2 linked regions of the Coturnix japonica genome follow. The protein of the gene in region 1 interacts with the protein of each later gene in a pairwise test. Links are inferred from orthologs where the notes say so. Each region holds a gene or a part of one and is shown on either strand. Other genes may lie near its edges.

What was found. The genes of interacting proteins can lie anywhere in the genome.
Region 2: the proteins of AP1B1 (region 1) and KIF13A interact in binary tests that used the Homo sapiens proteins (3 or more experiments, as listed by UniProt). The link is inferred for Coturnix japonica from reciprocal best matches to the Homo sapiens genes AP1B1 and KIF13A.

Annotation. Positions count from the first base shown.
Region 1 is NC_029530.1:9,936,178-9,941,887, forward strand, and holds the start of AP1B1 (AP-1 complex subunit beta-1), read left to right. Parts: upstream 1-2,151; 5' UTR 2,152-2,270; intron 2,271-2,375; 5' UTR 2,376-2,391; coding exon 2,392-2,428; intron 2,429-2,653; coding exon 2,654-2,759; intron 2,760-3,302; coding exon 3,303-3,438; intron 3,439-4,065; coding exon 4,066-4,311; intron 4,312-4,953; coding exon 4,954-5,144; intron 5,145-5,616; coding exon 5,617-5,710. Other genes in the region: NEFH (neurofilament heavy polypeptide), read right to left, coding at 1-913. UniProt on the Homo sapiens protein: Subunit of clathrin-associated adaptor protein complex 1 that plays a role in protein sorting in the late-Golgi/trans-Golgi network (TGN) and/or endosomes.
Region 2 is NC_029517.1:68,521,953-68,527,930, reverse strand, and holds the start of KIF13A (kinesin-like protein KIF13A), read left to right. Parts: upstream 1-2,384; 5' UTR 2,385-2,811; coding exon 2,812-2,866; intron 2,867-2,962; coding exon 2,963-3,053; intron 3,054-5,978. UniProt on the Homo sapiens protein: Plus end-directed microtubule-dependent motor protein involved in intracellular transport and regulating various processes such as mannose-6-phosphate receptor (M6PR) transport to the plasma membrane, endosomal sorting during melanosome biogenesis and cytokinesis.

The DNA.
Region 1 (5,710 bases):
GCTCGCCCATGGCCGAGCGCCCCGCCTGCTGCTGCCGCAGCGCCGCCGCCTCCGCCGCCAGCGCCCGGTTCTGCTGCTCCAGCGCCCGCACCCGCTCGATGTAACTGGCCAGGCGGTCATTGAGGTGCTGCAGCTCCTCCTTCTCGTTACGTGCCCGCGGTTCGCCGTTCAGCGAATCCAGGCTCTCGGTGGAGGAAGCGGCCGCGCTGCCCCCGCCGCCTCCCCGCGCTCTCCCCGCCGGAGCCGGGGGTCCCGGCCATGAGTGGAAGCCGCTGGAAGAGGCGGCGGAGCGCGGAGCGAAGCGAGAAGACTCCTTGCGGAGCCCCCCCGGGGGGACCAACAAGGCCTCCAGCACCAGGCTCATGGTGGCCCCCGCCCTCACTGCGGCACCACTGCCGCCGCCGCCGGCTTTATAGGGGCTGTCGGGGCCGCCCCGCCTCTCCACCGGCACGGGGTCGGTGACGGGCACCGGCAGCGGCACCGCCTCGAGCAGCCGCAGCCCTGAAGGCGTTGGGTGGGGGGTCCGGGAGCCGGGCCTCAAGGTGGAAGAGGGACCCTGAGGAGACGATGGGAACCCCACGGGAGGGAGTGGGGCCGCCCCACGAGGCCATAGGCTCCCACGGGGCCTCATCTCTACCTCAGGTAGGGGTCGAGAGCTCTTCTGTGCTGGAGGATCTGCACTGCAATGGGGCCCCCATCCTTTGGGACGGGACCCTGGGCAGCGCTGTGGGGTGTAGGGTGTGGGCTGCTCTACGGTTGTCTTCGGGTGAGCAGGGGGGTAGGAACCAGGAGAGAAACCCACGGTGCAGCCATCACCCTCTTGCTTGAGCAACTGGCACATGGGGCATCCAGTGCTGGAGTCCATGGAGCACCTGGTGTGGGCATCCATTGAGCAGCCAGTGCTGACATCCATGGAGCACAGTGCCAACGCCCAACGACAGCACTCAGTGTTGGCATCCACATGTACAATGTCAGCACCCAATGTCAGCACCCATGGAGCACCCAGTGTTGGTATCCACACGTACCTAATGCCAGCACCCAGTATCTGAACTCGTGGAGCACCCAGTATTGGTACCCAAAGAGCACCCACTCCACCAGCACCCGGGGACCACTCGATCTGGTGCCTTGCCGTCTCCTCAGCCAGTCAGCACTCTCTGACCACCCCATCTATGCGGTCTCATGTCTCATCCCAGCCACTCAACACCCTGCCGGGGGACCCTGGAGGTGGGCTGGTGGTGGGGCCGCAGCTGCTGCACGTTGGGCTGCGGGGTCCCCGTGTGCTGACCTTGACAGCCCGCTGTCCTGCGCATCGCATCCTCCCTACTCATCACTTTCTTTTTTCCCTCCCCCCGCCCACACTGCGCGGTGCTGAGGGTTGGAGCGTTGGCGCACGGAGCTGCTGCAGTGCCGGGCAGCGCTGGGATGCAGCTCTGCAGAGCAGCCAAACCCGCGGGGCCGCTCTGGAGTGGCCATACGGCTGTCAGTGCGCGGAGGGGCTGCGAGGTGGCCCCAGTGCTGCTGTGGTTCCAGGAGGATGACACAGCGTGTGCTTCTGCCCTCCAGCATCGTGTCCCTCTGTCCCACGTTCTCCATCCCCGTGCCACGTCCCCCTGCCCTCTGCCTTTTCCCATCCGCTGCCCCCAAGCTCTGTCCGCACCCCATCTCCCCCATATAGCACTCCCATCCCCTGTTGCCGCTCCCCGCCCCATCCCTTGTCCCATCCCTGCCGCTTTTCCGTCCCATCCCGTGTCCCTGCGCTTTGTCCACATCCCCATCCCTTCCCTTGTCCCGGTGCCTCCCCTACCCCTGTCCCCTGTCCCCACCCTCTCCTCGCCCATCCCACCCCATCCTCTGCCCACACCCCATGTCCCCACTCCTGTCCCCATGTGCTATCCCGTCCCTCACCCCCCGTCTCCCCCTTCCCAATCCCATGCCCCTACATGTGACCCAGCCCCCTCTATCCCGTTCCCATTCCTCGTCCCCCCATTCCCACCCGCTGTCCCATCCCCATCCCTTCCCTTATCCCACCCCACCCCCTTTCCTCCGCCCACTTCCCACCTCCCATCCCTTCTCCCACACTACACCCCTGTTCCACGTCCCCATCCCACATCCCCCCCCATATCCACCCCATTATCCCCGTGTCCCCACGCGCTGTCCCCGCTCCATCCCACCCCCATCCCGTAGCTCCGCCCCCTCCCCCGTATCCCCTCCCCGGAAGCTCTCTCTCCTCACTTCCTCTGGGCCGGGGGCAGCGCTCGGTGCGGTGGCAGGTTCGGGCCGGGGGCGGCGGAACCGGGGGGGGGGGGGGGGAACCGAGAGGTTTAGGGGGTTAAAATGAACGTGGTCTGTTAATGGTTACGTGCATCTCCCGGCAGGGAACGCGGCGGCACCATGACGGACTCCAAGTACTTCACCACCACCAAGAAGGGTGAGGGGGCTGCGGGGAGGCCTGGGGGGGGCACGGGGCTGTGAGGGGGCGGCCCTTACCATAGGGAGAGATGGGACAGTGTTTGTATACACACACAGGGGGAGGTTGGGCCGCGCTGTGCTGGGCCGGGCCGGGCTCTGTGATCCCATTGGGGCCCATAAGTGGGGGTCTGACACCCACAGACCCCCTTAGAACCTCCCTGCTGACCCCCTGCCTCCCCTATAGGGGAGATCTTCGAGCTGAAGGCAGAGCTGAACAGCGACAAGAAGGAGAAGAAGAAGGAGGCGGTGAAGAAGGTGATCGCATCCATGACTGTCGGCAAGGACGTCAGGTGTGTCCGGCCTCCTGTCCCACGGGCTGCAGGGCAGGGGGGGAATAGTCACCAAAGCTGGTTTTGCCCCGGGGTTTGTGCTTCAGACCCAGCACAATGGGCTGCTTAGGCCTGGTTGTGAGCTTGTGAGCACAGGCTGGTTGTAGGGTTGTATTGTGGGGTTGTGGAGTCATCTGGGATGGAGGATACCTTCTAGGTTGCCAGCTCGGTCTAGGGAAGAGGAGGGGTCCCCTTGCAGCCTTTCAGTATTTAAAGGGAGCTTATAAAAGAGGGAGAGGGTGACTTTGTACAGCGATAGGGCAAGTGGGAATGACTTTAAACAAAGAGAAGGGGAAGCTTAGGTGAGGCGTTAGGTGGAAATTCTGTACTTAGAAGGTGGTGAGACCCTGGCACTGGGTGCCCCATTCCAGGAGGTGCTCAAGGCCGGGTTAAATGGGGTTTGGTGGCTCTCCCAGGATAAAAGGGGCACACACCAGCAGGGCATCATGTCTGTGTTAACACCCCAGTCACTTGCCCTGAGATCTGCGGTGCTTCACATTTCAGCGCTCTCTTCCCGGACGTGGTGAACTGCATGCAGACAGACAACCTGGAGCTGAAGAAGCTGGTCTACCTCTACCTGATGAACTACGCCAAGAGCCAGCCTGACATGGCCATCATGGCTGTCAACACCTTTGTGAAGGTGAGGGGAAGGGACTGTGGGGCGGCACTTTGGCCTCCTGCCACCGAAGGGAGGGCAAGCAGCTGCCCAAGGCTTTCCCTCAGCAAATCAGGGCTCCCCTTGCATGGGATAAGAGCAAATTTGCCCCATGGTGCAAGAGTAAAATGTTTGTGGTGTTGGAGATGCCCCCTGTTGAGCTTGCTGCAGAGAACGTGGTCTTTCTTTTGTGGGCAGGAGCTGGGGAGTGTGTCTGTTGGAAGCCCCTGGGCCACCAGATCCTTTTGTGGGGAGGCTTTCCAGGAAGTTTTGGTGTTTTTAAAAGGAAAAAACAACAACAGTGATTGTGCTGGTTGTGTTCCCCAGGCCGGGTGGCTGTTCTGGGGGGTGCTGGGTGGGTTGTGTCCCTGGTGTAAGCCGGGCACACGCCTGGTTCTGTGGTGTGTTTGGAACAGGAGCTGCTCTAACAGTGTTAGAATTCAGTGGAATGAGACTGAACTCCTTCTGTGGGATGCACTCACTCCACTCAGGAGCTGAATGCAAATAACCTCAGGACTTCAGGAACCCGAATTAAAGTCAAGGTCCTGAAGCTGCTGCTGATGGCTGTGGTTGGAGGGGCTGGAGCTCTCACTGTCCCCTCTGGCCCTGCAGGACTGTGAGGACCCAAACCCTCTGATCCGTGCCCTGGCCGTGCGGACCATGGGCTGCATCCGTGTGGACAAGATAACAGAGTACCTGTGTGAGCCCCTGCGCAAGTGCCTGAAGGATGAGGACCCGTATGTGCGCAAGACAGCGGCCGTCTGCGTGGCCAAGCTCCATGACATCAATGCCCAGCTGGTGGAGGACCAGGGCTTCCTGGACACCCTCAAGGATCTCATCTCGGACTCCAACCCCATGGTGATCAGACCTTGCTTTCCCTGTCTGGTGCAGCAGATGCCCTCCTTTGTTTTTGCAGCCCTGTATCCTTGCTCCCACGTTCCTCTTCATTTCTTGATGCTTTTTGCTGCTTGTCAGATTGCTTTTGGGGGTGGCTGTCCCTGGGGTTGCTTTTCTTGTCCAATAACCGTCTCCTGGCTGCTTTTAGATGTGAGATCTCATTATTTCCCCTTTGTTATTAGCTTCTGCACCCTATGGGGAGCAGGAAAGGCATCAAACAGGATTTGCTGGCTGGGAATGCTGTGATGCTGCATGTTTGGCTTCTCACACCAGCTTGCACTGATGTGGTGGTGGCTCTCTGCTGTTTCCCTGCTGAGGGTGACTGCCGGGAGGGGACAGGAGGAGCACAGGGCTGTAGGATTTGCCCACCCAAACTGCCAAGTAGTGATGGGGGAAGAGTCACAGTGTGGGTGGTGGTGATGTGTGCTGATAGCTCATCTGCACATCAGCTTGTGTGGAGGAGAAGCTGGTGCCCAGATGTCAGAGCAAGGGCCCCACACTGAGGACGCATCTCATCTGCTTGCAGCAGCTTTTCTCCAGAACCACAACTGCCATCCCATTGTGCTCGCTGTCCCTTCACACGTGTCCCATCTCCTCTGGCAGGTAGTGGCTAATGCAGTAGCAGCGCTGTCGGAGATTGCAGAGTCGCACCCGAGCAGTAACCTGCTGGACCTCAACCCCCAGTCCATCAACAAGCTGCTCACAGCCCTGAACGAGTGCACTGAATGGGGACAGATCTTCATCCTGGACTGCCTGGCCAACTACATGCCCAAGGATGACCGGGAGGCCCAGAGGTGAGGGAGGTGGTGGGGCAGGACGGCAGGGTGATGGCTGGACGGGGCTGACGCAGCCTGTTCCCTTCCAAGAAGTGCCTTCACACTTCCCTTCTGCACTGCTCCCCACCCTTGGCTTCCTGCAGCTGGGGGAGGAGCAGCTGACATCAGCACAGCACTGTTCCTGGGGACTCACAGTCTCTTAGTGCTGTCCCCACACTGACACAAGGAACAGACTTCTCCAGTCATGATCTTAACGTGCATCAAGGGAGAGCAGCCTGGGCACCAGGGAGATCCCACTGCAGATGGGGCTTTACTGGGAAATAACCATTATCAGGAGCCTCTAAGAGCCAGCTCTGCATCTTTTGGGGGCAAACCTCAAGTGCAGGCTGTCTGCTTTGTAACAAACCCTGCCAACACCTCATTCCTTGGAGTTCCAAGTAGGATGCCTGGCTCTGACTCTTCCCTTTTCCTTTGCCCTCACCCCCTGCAGCATCTGTGAGCGGGTGACACCCCGGCTGTCCCACGCCAACTCTGCGGTGGTGCTCTCAGCAGTGAAGGTGCTGATGAAGTTCATGGAGATGCTG
Region 2 (5,978 bases), on another chromosome or scaffold:
GGTGTCTATACATGCAAATCTTGAGGTGTTTTGATTTAAAAATAAACTTAGGAAAACAGATACTTTTGTGTTGGTGAGCATGATGCTCAATCATATAGTATCACTGACATTTCCTCCACTTTTTATGTAAATGCTAATAAAATTTCAAAATGCAATGTCACATAGCGATCTGTATCTTGGATGTAAGCACAGCCCAGAGCATCTTGCAGAACTGAATCAATTTGTTTGTAATAAATCAATTTTAAAGACCTCTTAAGATTAAAGACTATCTGATTAGGTTCTTTCACAGAAAACACAGGCTCCAGTAATCACATCGTCAGATAATAACAATTATACATATATTAGTTTTATACTCAAAATTTAACTGTGGTCAACGTGGTTGTGCTAGAATAATTATTTGCACATCTGCAAACACATCCGGGGTTATTTGGTTTCTGGTTCAGTTTTGGATGGTGGTAGAGTCTGTATGACCTTGGTAGAACGTCAGGCCTTTGGGGTTTCATAAAGCTTTTTGCTGGTCTTTTCTTTTGAGATGGTAGTGATGAACTCCTTTCCACTGAGACTTCTGACCACAGATCAAATGCCCCTCTTCTCTTGCAGCCAAGAATTTGCTATACTAGAACATACTCCCCTGGCTCTTATATCATTATTTCTTCTCCCTTTTACAGGGTTTTAAAAACCTGCTTTCCAACACTATGAGTTATATATATACACACCAGTTCTAACATCCAGGTCCATTGGAAGCTAATTATTTTTTCAGACTTGATGATTCTGTCCGGCACATTAAGAGGATATTTCTGTACAAGTACAGATTGCTCTCTGGGCCGTCTAATGATCTTATGGGGCCCAGAGGACATAACTCTCTTACTATTGTGCTATAATGCCCAAGGTTTCGTGGAGACCAAAAGAGATATATTCTGCTACATTCATCCTGCCTAATAGATCTAGATATCTATTCCAGATAACAGCAAATATTCCTTCCCATAGCCAAAATCTCAGGTAGTCTCATAAGGACACTTCTGTTTCTCATTAGCTAATATCATCGTTTTTATTTAATCTTGCAGTGATGCAGTTTTCCAGTGAGAAGTGGAAAATAGAGATAGAAGGGATTATTCTCTGCCCCATCTGTTGGATGTTCTCTCCTTCCCAATAGCATCCAAGCTTCGCAGAACTCAATTTCTGCAGAGCCATTCCAGACGTTATACTATATTTTGAGCCAGCGCTTCCTTCCTTTGGTGTCCTTATAGTATACAGCCATAAACAGGATGCCTCATTTCAACATCTTTCTCAGTTGAACCACATACTTACGATGCATTTCATAACAAACCTAATTCCTGACGTCTACTTCCATGGGCAAGAAATCTGTGCATGCCAGCACTTTCCCTAAGAAAGCAAATTAATTACATTATTATAAATTAACAGAATTGTATCAGAAGCTTCTGCTAGTGATGTTCTCCAGATAGTTGGCTCTATTTGGATAAGTCTCTCACCACGCTGAGTGCATGTCTCATATTTCTTTTCAGCATTCCTGTGACCAGTGGCCATTCAGGGGCAACAGGACTGACATTCGTGCTCATCTGCTCACAGCTCTTCTGAGCTGCTTTGCAGGGCTCATCTGGCTGGTGTGGTGTGCAGCAGCGTCAGTCATTTTTACCTCTTTTCGTAAGGCCTGCTGTTTCTCAGTGCAACTATCTGCCTATCCATCGTGTTTTGTTTAGCCCATCCTCCCTGCAGTAGTTTAGACAGAATAATCCTGGCTGGATTTTAGCCTGCCTTCAGTAAGCAACATGATGCAGATATCAGTGATTTTGCAACTTGGATTCCAGCCATTTAGTTGCACTAGAAAACAGGGCTCGAAAGACAGGGAAATATTTTGCTGAAGCTAAGGAAACACTTCTGGCAAGAGGATGAGGCTTTAACGAGACAGTTGAAATAAAAGCCCTCCTGAGATCATAAGGCTGCTGCGGTTTATCTCAACAGTTTTCCTGGCTTATCCATTAAAAGCGAGGCCGTCCTCGGAGCGCTGGGTACAGGCGTTACTGTTTGTAATGCTTTTCCCTGATGTGAGCAGACAAGTTTGCGAGCAGACACAACTCCTTCCTGCCCTATTTGGGCAGCCACTTGGCAAAACCCGCAGGTCGCTGTCTGTGAGAAGCAGATTTGGCACTTCACAGATTTGGGATGTAACCGTGGTGCCCCTCTGGCTCAAGAATCCCCAGCTGTGACCCTCAGGAAGGCACACACCACCTCACCCTCACAAAGGGAGAACAGGACAGCCCTACAGCCGCCCCACAGCCACTGAGGGGGCGGGGATGGCGGGACGGCCCCGCCTCCATCATCAGGCGCCGGGAGGGCGGCTTGAGGGCAAGGCGCAGTGCCCGGCTTCCCCGTCGCTCCCTGCGCAAGCGCCGCTCCTCCCTCCATTTCGCCGCCGCGGGGCGCTGCTCTGCCTTTCCTCCTTCAGCTCCCCGTCCTTCGGTGTAGGGCTGAGGAGAGGCGTGGTAGCTCGGATCTCCGAGTGTTTCCGATGCTGTTCGGCGCCTCCCCGCCGCGCTTGAAGATGGCGGCTGGGATTGGCGGGGCGGCGGCGGCAGTTATGCAAACGATGCCGTCGGCAGGCAGCGCCAGAGCCGGCTGAGCGGGGAGGCGACTGGGGCTGCGCCGCCGTCCGTCCTCCGCCTCCCTCTCCTCCTCCTTCTCCCCTTCCTCCCCGCCCCCCCCGGCCCCTGCCTCGCCCCGGCCCGGCATGGACGTTGGCGCTGCGCGGTGCCGCTGAGCGGGGCCGCCCGGCGCAGACGGGGGGGGGGAAAGATGTCGGACACTAAAGTGAAGGTGGCCGTTAGGGTCCGGCCCATGAACAGGAGAGGTAAGCGGGGATCCGGGCGGGTGTGGGGAGGGGGAAGCACGCCCGCCCTCCCCCCCCCTTCCCCCGACTTCAACCCCGTGCCGCCTCTCCTTGCAGAGCTGGAGCTGAACACCAAGTGCGTGGTGGAGATGGAGGGCAACCAGACCGTGCTGCACCCGCCGCCTTCCAACAGCAAGCAGGGAGAAAGGTAAACGCCGTGCCCGGCTGTGGAGGGGGGTGGTGGATCGCTGCCCCTTGGGGAGGTGCGCCGAGAGCGGGCGGTGAGGAGCTGGGGCTGGGAAACAGCCTGTGAGAACGAGCGAAAATAGTCCCGAAATCTGGCGTGTAGTTGTGATGCCCCGGTAAAGAATACCCTTGGAAGTAAGCCAAAAATACCAATGCACCAGACTGTAAAAATAGATCAGAACAGGAAAAGATTTCTTTCCTTTGAGGGAGCGTGGGGAGGTGCGGGAGTGTGGTGTTGTGTGCTTATCTCTTCTGTGTTACCTGTTGACAGCCCCGCTTCGTTCAGCTGTTAAATATTTGCGATGCTATGGAGCGTGGATTCATTTTTGTGGTTATTGAGGTTTTCATCTGAACAAATCCTTACTGTTCAGGATGTCATTAAGAATATATTTGAGTTTGTAATAGCAATGAAGAAACTAGTGTGAGGAGATAAATATATTTCTTTCAAAGGCAACGTTTCAATAGTTTTCCAGCAGTAAAGGTCTGGACCTTCTTGTTCTTTGTTGCCGGAGATGTGAAGGCCCCTCTCACGTGAGTCTGAATACAGGAATATAGCTGCGATCGTGCCAGTTCAACTGAAATCCTACTCATGTAGTTTTTAGGATCATTTTATAGCTGGTGTGTTGGCCTGAGTCTTGAGAGAGCAGTGCTTGTTCCCAGCTCATTTCAAAGATCTTTGTGTGACCTGCGATTTGCACTACCTCTGTGTAACATCACTTCTGTAAAATGGGGATCTTGGTTCTCTTGAGACTATTTTGGAAAGTATGTTTTTGTAATTGTTTATTGAACTGCGTGTGTGTTGTTTGCCACAACACTGCTATAGTCAAATCTGCTCGCTTTAAAGAGTTAATGCTATTCTTACAATGAGGCAGTGAGACAGTGGAACAGGTTGCCCAGTGAGGTTGTGAATACCCCCTCTCTGGAAGCATTCAAGGTTAGGTTGGATGGTGCTTTGAGCAATCTGGTCCAGAGGTGTCCCTGCCTATAGCAGGGGGTTGGAACTAGAGGATCTTACAGCTCCCTTCCAACCCAAACCATTCTATGAATGCCTGTAACAAATGTAAGCTCTTCTTACCTGATCTGAACTGGCTTCTGGTTGTGTCAAGACTCGGAGTTGGCTGGCTGCTAAACATTTGACTTGTGTGTTGGAAGGAAGCAACTGCCTGACGTGAGAGGATTGGAAATGCTAGTACTCAGAAGTAACTCACTGATGCAAAAATATAGCTTGGGTATGTTTTAAATGACAGGTGTTGCTGGAAGGCTGTAGCGCCTTGTGGAAATCTGTACTTTTTGGTTCATTTTTTAGCTGTTCGTTTTTGATAAGGAGTTCAATTCCCACGTTGAAAAAAGAATTCCATTCTTCTTCCCCGCGTACCCAAATGAAGTGTCTATATAGACTGACTCTGAATTGCTGAGTAGCTGTTGCTTGTACTTGGATGGGTGCCTTGGCAGGGTTAGAGATGTCAAATGGATTTTTGGTTTTCTTTGTGTAGCTTGTTTTTACATAGCTCAACTGGATTTATTTCTTTCAGAGTAACTGTGTCATTGCAAAAATGATTTCCCTTGCTTGTGTGATTAGCCAGTTTTCATGCTAGGTTGTGTGATTTTAATATTGCTTGGTGTTAACTTTTGACTTTTATACTTTTTTTGTGTGTTTTGTTGGTTTTTGTTTTGAGGAATAGAAGTATGAGCTTGTGCTGTGCTTTGGAATTAGGAAAAGTGGTCTTCTGAAGAAAACTTGGTTTCCAGGGCTGCTTTTCTTAGTTGAGCTGAAGCTGAGAAACTATAGTGTGGGGGTGAGGAGGGGTGGAAATCAGGACCCTGCTCTTTGTTTGCTTTGTTCTCTATTTGCTCAGTTGTAATTTTAAATGTATTGCCAGAATTTTCTAAAGCAAAATTAAGTGACGCTTTCATGGTTATAGGACATATTCTTCCAAAAGCAAGTTAAGATTAGAAATATCAGATTTAAGTAGTTCCACCTATTCTGCAAAGAGTTCTTGAATGAAATCCAAATTGAGATGCTTGCTGTTCATTAATATCTACAACTTATGAAGGATTCTTCTGAAGGATTTTAGTTGGGGAAAACTATGATCGTTTTGCAAGTGGTGAAAGAAGCCTGAAAGCCAAAATTGCTGTCATCTGTCCAACTTCCACTATTGTGTTAGTTATAAAGCAGTAACTCAGAACCATCAGTTAGGGTTCTGACTCCCTTTCCTTTTCCTAGACCGTACAGCATCCCTCCCTTAAGAAGCACAGCTTTGAGATAGTAATTGTTACTAAACTTTGTAAGCAGTGGGCCTTTCATTCTGCACAAATGGCTTTCTTAACTAACAGAGGAGAAACAAAACATAGTAAAACCTGACAGTCTGAGTCTGAAAGACACAGAAAAATCTTTACTGACTGTAGGAATAGTAGACAGAGGGTTCAGAAACAGTTTTCACTAGCAGGTTTCAGGTATATTCTCTGTTGCTAGCAAATATCTGTGCCTTTAGCCTTTGCTTTACTATTAATAGCAGCAGTTTCCTTTATGTCTGCCTTGAAGGTATTTCTATGGTGTTACCTCTTCATTCTTCCATCCATTTTTCTCCCTCAAATGAGTTATGCTTCATAATTTCGTCCTCTGTCGTGTTATAAATGTTTGCATTTGGTTGACAGTATAAGGTGTACTGTATTGCAATATAACTATGGAATAAGTTACAGCATGGAGTTAGACAGGCTTTCAAAATATCTTAAAGTTTTTTACTTTTTACAATGGAAATATGAAACCACAGTCTGGGTTACTGAAGGTTTCCCTTCGTGTTGGAGGTAATACTATCAAAATGTTTTAGTATTGGTTTTTAGTAGGACAAATGAGGTTTTGCTGTTGCCACTTCTGCTTTTGCTTGTT